2 linked regions of the Struthio camelus genome follow. The protein of the gene in region 1 interacts with the protein of each later gene in a pairwise test. Links are inferred from orthologs where the notes say so. Each region holds a gene or a part of one and is shown on either strand. Other genes may lie near its edges.

Evidence for each region.
Region 2: the proteins of SHTN1 (region 1) and FABP3 interact in binary tests that used the Homo sapiens proteins (3 or more experiments, as listed by UniProt). The two-hybrid records come from large-scale screens. The link is inferred for Struthio camelus from reciprocal best matches to the Homo sapiens genes SHTN1 and FABP3.

What each region holds. Positions count from the first base shown.
Region 1 is NC_090948.1:8,623,297-8,627,194, forward strand, and holds the start of SHTN1 (shootin-1), read left to right. Parts: upstream 1-1,138; 5' UTR 1,139-1,284; coding exon 1,285-1,342; intron 1,343-1,797; exon of another isoform or gene 1,798-2,040; intron 2,041-3,898. UniProt on the Homo sapiens protein: Involved in the generation of internal asymmetric signals required for neuronal polarization and neurite outgrowth.
Region 2 is NC_090964.1:4,623,998-4,627,895, forward strand, and holds the start of FABP3 (fatty acid-binding protein, heart), read left to right. Parts: upstream 1-1,725; 5' UTR 1,726-1,861; coding exon 1,862-1,934; intron 1,935-3,048; coding exon 3,049-3,221; intron 3,222-3,898. UniProt on the Homo sapiens protein: FABPs are thought to play a role in the intracellular transport of long-chain fatty acids and their acyl-CoA esters.

The sequences.
Region 1 (3,898 bases):
GCGTTTTCCCTCCTACCCTGTAATTAATATCCAAACCTGTGCTCCGAGGCCCTGTCCCGGCTTCCCCTCGTCCCGGCTCCTCATGCCCTCTCCTGCGTTTCCCCCCACGAAGCGCCCACCCGAAGCGCCTGCCTCTCCGCGCCCGCGCTGCCCGCGGCTCCCCACCGGCCCCCCGCACCCCGCCGGGGGAGGCCCCGAGCCTCGGGCCGGCTGGCAGGGGTGCAAACGGGAGCCACAAAACCGGTCGCCAACCCCGTGCGTCCGTGGTGGTGGTGGTGGTGGTGGTGGAGGGGGGGGTGTTGTGTGTGTGTGTGTGCGCTGCCAGCTGCGCGGCAGCGGTGTGCCCGCCCGCCGGTGCTGGGCGGTCAGCGCGTGTCAGCCGGGGGGGGCCCGCCAGTCAGCCAGCCGGGGGGGGGCCGCCAGTCAGTCAGCCGGGGGGGGGCCCGCCAGTCAGCCAGCCGGGGGGGGGGCCCGCCAGTCAGCCAGCCGGGGGGGGGGCCCGCCAGTCAGCCAGCCGGGGGGGGGGGCCCGCCAGTCAGCCAGCCGGGGGGGGGCCGCCAGTCAGTCAGCCGGGGGGGGGGGGGCCCGCCAGTCAGCCAGCCGGGGGGGGCCCGCCAGTCAGCCAGCCGGGGGGGGGCCCACCAGTCAGCCAGCCGGGGGGGCCCGCCAGTCAGCCAGCCGGGGGGGGGGCCCGCCAGTCAGTCAGCCGGGGGGGGGGCCCGCCGGTCAGCCAGCCGGGGGGGGGCCCGCCAGTCAGCCAGCCAGGGGGGGGGGCCCGCCAGTCAGTCAGCCGGGGGGGGGGCCCGCCGGTCAGTCAGCCGGGGGGGGGGCCCGCCGGTCAGCCAGCCGGGGGGGGGCCCGCCAGTCAGCCAGCCGGGGGGGGGGGCCCGCCAGTCAGTCAGCCGGGGGGGGGGCCCGCCGGTCAGTCAGCCGGGGGGGGGGGCCGCCAGTCAGCCAGCCGGGGGGGGGCCCGCCAGTCAGCCAGCCGGGGGGGGGGGCCCGCCAGTCAGTCAGCCGGGGGGGGGGCCCGCCAGTCAGTCAGCCGGGGGGGGGGCCGCCAGTCAGCCAGCCGGGGGGGGCCCGCCAGGCGGAGGGCGCCGCCGTGCCCCGCACCCTCGCACATGCTCACTGGGGCGCCGCGGGAGTCTGGGCATGTGCAGAGCGGGCAGGGCCGCTCCCGCCCCCCCCGGGGCTCCGTGCGCCGCCGCCCGCCCGCCCGCTCCCAGGTGAAGCCGCGCTAGGTGGGGCGGAGCGGGGCAGCCGGTCGCCGGCGGCGGCGGCAGGATGAACAGCTCCGACGAGGAGAAGCAGCTGGAGCTCCTCACCAGCCTCAAGGACCAGGGTACGGCAGGCAGCGCCGGGCGGGCGCCGCCCTGTAGCTGCTGCTGCTGCTGCCGCCGCGGCGGCGGGGCCGGCGGGACCGCGGCGGGGCGGGGCGGCGTGAGGCGAGGGCTGCGCGGGCGGCGGAGAGCGGCGCGGGCGGGCGCGGCAGGGCCGCGGCGCTCGGCAGGGCCGCGGGCAGCGCGGGGGCCGCGGCTGCCGAGGCCCGGCCGCCTCCCGGTCCGGCCCCGCCGTCGGGTGTTGCCTCGTTTCCAGGTCCCTGTCTCTGTGCGGGCGGGGCAGGACCCCCCCCCCCCTTTTATTTTATTTTTTTTTGTTTAATTATTTAAAAAAAAAAAAAGGAGTTGAAACGTTTTGGCTCTTCCCCTTGTCGGTGCTCGTTCCTGGGCAGCTCCCCGCACCTGCTCTGCTTCTCTGCTGCTGCAGCTAGGTCGGCGCTGGCGTCGAGGTGACCGCGCGTGAATTTGGGCCGATGGGATGGCCGGGTGTTGCAGCGGGTGAGCTGTGAGCGCTGGTAGCCCAGGTGCCGCTCCCTCGAGCGCAGGCTAGCCTTTGCGCTGGGAAAAGGTGTGTGACTAACCCGTGGTGTTAATCCTGCTGTCAGTGAACGGGAGCGGATAGTGGTGAACCTGGATACCCGTCCTCTGTGCGCCTCTTAGGCACACGGTCTTGAGCAGAAACGCTGGCCAGCTCCGAGAGGTAAAAGTCCATCTGTCTAGTGGTCTTCCCGTGGAAGGCAAATTTTATATGAAGTTCCTTATTGTTTCTGAGCTAACTTCACCTCCGTTTTCCTATTGTGTGTTGTTAGATGTGATATCACCTACCCGTTAAATCCTCTCTATTCCGCTCCTTGTGGGTGTGCAGACTTCCCAGCAAGAGGTCAGGGTTAGCCCCGATATGCCATAGGCTTCTGCGGAGTCTGTGTAACTTCCAGTTAAATGAAATAAAGCATTTTGATTTGGTTCCGCTTCTGAGTCTGTATCTGGGGCTTTTGTAGAAAAGTCCAATGCTTCTACTTCATAGGTGTTCAGCTCCTTTAGAAAACTTAAAACAACGTAATGTTTCATGTTCTGCGAGAAGGGACTTGAGAAAGGGCTTGGATGTTCCAAAAGGTACCCTGCTTTTCTAACGCTACTGGTCAGGGTATTCCCAAGCCAGGCTGGTCTAACAAAGTTGCTACATTCATTCCTTGTCTAGTAAAGAGGTAGACGACATTCAAAGGGCCAGCATGTTACCAGCTATTTGAGTTGTAGGCACGTATCTGTAGATGTGTGCCAGCATACCTCCTGTCTCACAGCTTCATACGCGGTAGGCACGAAATACCGGCCCTGTGTGGCTGATGCTACAGCTCCCACAGCGGTGTGCCTGTGGTCCTTGTGGAACCTGGGAAGGGCTCTGTTTTGAAAGGGTGCAAACTTTTAATGGGGAGATCGAAATTACTGGCGTGTGGTGGTGGATCAATACCCCTTTTCTGTGGTTCATTCTGACTATAAACTCATTCAGTCGTCTTTGCTGTGCAGCAGGAGCTTTCCTTAACCAATAGTTGAATACTTATGATCGCCTGTCTTGGCACTTCTTTCTTCTTTGTTCCTGGCACATTCAGCAGTGTGATTTCGTGATTATCTGCTGCCCCTGCTAGATTCTGACTTTTAATGATTGCGGTCAGTGTAAAACTTACCATGATCGCATAGCTGTGTGCTTCGATAACGCAGGACCAAAAAATGAGGCTAAAAATCTAGTTTTGCTGATAGGCCTGACTACTTGCCACTGGTACTGTTGGCTCCAAAAGAGTGGTTTGTGCCAAAATGACAGTTGCTGAAGTGTCAACAAGCAGTTGCTAAAATGGAAAGTTTGGATTACTTTTCACAGAAATCCTAGCCTCCTTCAAACTGGTTGGAAGTTTTTTATTGTCTTCAGTAGGACTAAGGTTTCAGTTTTGATATCTGGAAGTCTTCTGTCCAAATAGTCATAGTATCCTTTAATGTCTAATGAAGTTTATGACACGCTAGGAATTAGTTCAAGGAAAAGATACTGTAACTCAAGTACCAGCTGTCCTAGATCCACTTAAGCTGTTGAAATAGAAACTGTAACAGGCAGATTGTGTCCTGTAAAGCTTTGTTCTTGATACGTTTTTGCCCTAAATGTAGACGTTTTTAGTATGCTGTTACGAGACCACCCAATGTTTTCATAATTTTATGGCCTGCTAGAAGGTTGATTTTTATGATGAAAAAATTATCGCGTGAAAAACTTTTGAAAATACTTACTCCTCTGTGTTCTGTTTTTGCATCTGAAATAATGCAGTATTATGGTAGGACACTATAGTTAAATTATGCTAACTGACAAGTCCCAAGTCCGTGAACTGTCCAGAATAAAAAGCCTAAGTGATGAAAAGGTAATGAGATGCTTAAAGTTATCCTAACAAGAATGATCTAAATATTGTTACGACAGTTAGGTAAGTTTACTTCCTTTTTACGTATTTTAAGCTTGAATGTACAGTTCAGCCTCCGTTGATATTGATGACAAGATAAGAGGAAGGTATTTTAGATACTAACAACTT
Region 2 (3,898 bases), on another chromosome or scaffold:
ACGGGGACTGCGGCATGTGGGAGGGCACGTCCGCGCCGGCCCCGCTCACAGCCACCCTGGCAGGGCCGAGGCCGTGCCTTCCGGAGGAGGCTGAACTTGAGCCGCCAGCTATTTTTGGGTGTCTGCAATGACAGCTCGGGGCCAGGGAGAGGGTGTCCCTTGGGTCTCTCCTGCACCTATTTCACCTTGAGCTGGATGCTCACAAGAGAAAGGCCCTGAGGTCCTGGGCAAGGGCTCCTGAGCACGACAGCCGTGCGCAAGGAGAACCGGCTGCTCAAGGGCCAAACTCCCATTAACTGAAATAGGGCAAGAGGCGCCTGACCCCCGTCTGTAGATGTGCCCCAGCCCCTTGGCCCAAAGGCAGCAGCAACCCGCGACGGGACCGGCCGCCCCCATCAGCGTGGCTCTGCCCCGTGCCCTTTCCGCCCCGCCTGCATCGCAATCCCGGGGCGGCAGGAGGAGGCTGACGGTGGGCGCGACGCGGGGGCCGGGCCAGAGCCGGGTGCCCAGTGGACCAGGGGCCGTTATATCCCACTGCCTCAGCTGTTTCCCGCGGGCGCCGAGCCCGCCGGGAACGGCCCCGCTGCAACAAGAGCCCGAAGCAGAGGAAAGGTTAGGGGCGGGCGGGCAGCTGACGGCGCGCACCAGCTGCTATTTTATCCAGTCCTCCCCCCTCCACCCCCCGGCCAGTGCTCAGCCCTCGCGGGCACGTGCTCCCGCAGCCCGGCAGGATGGGTGCTGGCCCCCGGCGGGCGGTTGGGCTGGGCGAGCTCAGGGACAGGCACTGGGGCCTGGCAGGGAATGACGGGGCCGCGCAGCCGGGGCACCCTGCCTGCCGGCGTCCCACCGTGCCCGGGGTGCTGCCACGGGGCTAAGTCCAGGCGGAGAGGCTTCGGTTGCCGGTGGAGCAGCCGTTCTGCCTAATCAGCTTCTTCTCGTCCTAAAGGTGTTAAAGAGTAACAGCCGAGAAGGGGCATCGCCGTCCTCACTGCCGCCATCTCCTCCCCGACCCCAAAGTGCGGGGAGGTGCGAGGAGGCTGGGACTGACCCCCCCAAAAGCTCTTGTCCCCTGAGCCCCAGGGTCCCCACGAGCCAAGCTCACAGGGAGGCACGTTGGAGGTCCCCTGTGCCAAAGGGCCTCCTGGCCCTGCCACCCCTCTGCTCTGCCACTTCCCCTGGTGCATACCAGGGATTTTTGTCGTCCAAATCGGCGTTGGCGAGAGATGCTGAGGAGCCGCGTGGGCTCCAGGGTACCAGGGGCAGAAGGAGGCAGCACACGCTGAGTGCACGTTTGGGCTGCGCTCAGCAAAGCCACGCTCACGCCGCCGCTCCGCCGCGGGCGCGGGCCGCCTGGCGCATCCCGCGGGCGCGAAGGCAAGCGGGGCAGAGGCGCTGGGAAAGGCAGAGGCGGAGGAAGGGGTTACGGGCGCTGGCGGACGCGCACCTCCCAGGGCAGGGCCGTACGGGCCGGCGCCACGGCAGCCCCTCGCGCCCCGACCGACCGTCGCACCAAGCGGCCCCAGCGCTGCGTGCCCCGCCGTCGCCACGCGCGTGTCCCCCGCAGGGTGGGATCGCGCGTGTCCTTGCACACGCACGCGCGCGCGCGGAGCAGAGCGGAGAGTCGCGCGGGCGCCGGCGCGGGTGGCACCGGCCCGCGGGGCAGGGCGCGGCAGCCAGCGGGGCCGGGGCCGGGGCCGGGGCCGGGGCCGGGGCCGGGGCCGGGGCCGGGGCCGGCAGCGCCCGCCGGAGCCGCCCGCCGCAATCATGTGACGGCGCCGCTATTTAAGGCGGCTGCGGAGCCGGCAGCAGCCCTGTGGCTCGGCGGCGCCGTCCCCGCCTCGCAAGCCCGCTCGCCTTCACCATGGTCGAAGCCTTCGTCGGCACCTGGAAGCTGGTGGACTCGGCTAATTTCGATGAGTACATGAAGGCGCTGGGTGAGCGCGGGCGGCGGCGGCGGCGGGGGGAGCCGGGGGCGGCGGCCGCCCCTGCGCCGGGCGCGCTGAAGCCGTGAGATCGCTCCGCTCTCTTTCTCTTTCTTTCTTCATTTCCCCCCCCTTTGTATTTCACCTCCCGAGTAGCCAGGACCGCACAAAGGGCTTTTAGCGCTGCGGCGCCTGCAAGTGAGGAGGAGGATGGCTGTCTGCCTTTTTAATGGGTGTAAAGAAGGGGGGGGGGAATGCTGTTTTGACAGGGCTGGGTTTGCGGCGGGCAGGGGCGATGCGGGGGAGCCGGGGCTTGCGGCGAGCCGGGCGCTGGCGCTCCGCATGGGTGTGCGGTGTCCCCGCGGCCCCGCCCGGCGCCCCGCGGTGCTGCGGCCGGGAAACGGGGCTCGGCTTTTGCCAGGGGGCAACACGGGTGGGGACAGGGTGGGAGGGAATCTCGGCCATCTCTGGTGATGAGGATGATCCTCGCTGCCGGGCACTTGTTTGAAGCCGGGTGAGGTCCCTGGTCCTGGGAAAGCAGGCGAGGGGCAGGAGATGGCTGCCTTGCCCGGGAAGGAGTGTGCCCACTGCCTGGCTCCCTGCCCTCGGGAGGGACATGCATCTCCAGCTCTTCCCAGAAGCCAGTGGGTGGGGACAGCCTTCCCCCCCCCCCCCCCATTTCAGGGCCAAGGATGATAGGGTGGAGGGAGAGGACTGCAGAGCTGCTCACTGCAGAGTGAGTGAATGCAGTGCCTCTGCTCTCCTCCATCCTTCATCCCTCCTTCTCACCCCACATCATCCAGCCTGGTCCCTGGCACCGGCTGTGGCTCCTTCTGAGTGGCCCCAGGGTACTACAGAGGCCAGGGGACACTACCTGTCTTGGATCCTGCTCAGCCCCAAAAGCTGGTCTGTGGCTGGAGAATGGTGTTTCTGGGTGCAGGATCTGGCCCTGAGTGATCCCAGCTGCACATCCAGCTGCCCTCCAGCCCCCACGGCAGCCAGCAAGACACGGGGAGGCTGCAGGGAGGAAGGAAGGTCTGGGGGCTGCTGAAGGGCAGGGACGATGATGGGGATGCACCCTCTCTAGCCCCTCCGCGTGGCCTCACCGCTCCCTTGCACCCTGCAGGTGTGGGCTTTGCCACGAGGCAGGTGGCGGGCCTCACCAAACCCACCACCATCATCGAAGTGAGCGGCGACAAGATCACCCTGAAGACCCAGAGCACCTTCAAAAACACAGAGATCAGCTTCAAGCTGGGCGAGGAGTTTGATGAGACCACTGCTGATGACAGGCACGTCAAGGTGAGCCCAGCCATGGGGCCAGGAGCCCAGCAGAGACCCAGGGGGCAGCTGGGGTGCTGAACATTGGTGCTTGGAGAAGCTCTCTGGGGTCCCTCAGAGAGCATCTGCCCTCTGCCAAACCCTTTTATCAGGCCATGGCCACATTCCTGCAGTTCAAGGCTTGAATCCTTGAGTTCTGGGTCTGTCTCCTTCTCTCCATCCTCTTCTGTTAAAAATCTCCTTGCCCTCAGGGCCTGCTGCTCTGCCCTAGCCTCTCTTGGCAAATCACCCCTTCCCCCATGCCGATTTGCAGCCAGGCTTTGCAGAAAAGCTGTTACGAGGCATTGGAGTTACTGTAACAGCCCCGGGGCTCTACCAGCCCGGGAAGTTGGGCCGCCCGGGCACAGAGCTGCTGGGTAGGTTGTGCAAGAGCGAAAACATGCAACCGCCCACTGCCTGGCCCACGACGGACTTGCTCAAGAGAAACAGGGGATGTGGTGGAGCGAAGGTGAACTTTGTGCCATTTTTAATGGTTTCCAAGGCATCCTTGCAGGGATGCAAGAATTGCTTTTGAGCCTGGTGCTTGTCCTAGAAACACATTTTGGGCCCCTTTGGCTGGGCAGAGCTGTCCTCTCTGTACATGGTGAGCGAAGAGGGATGGAACGGCTTGGACACATCACTTGGCCAATTCCCCTTTA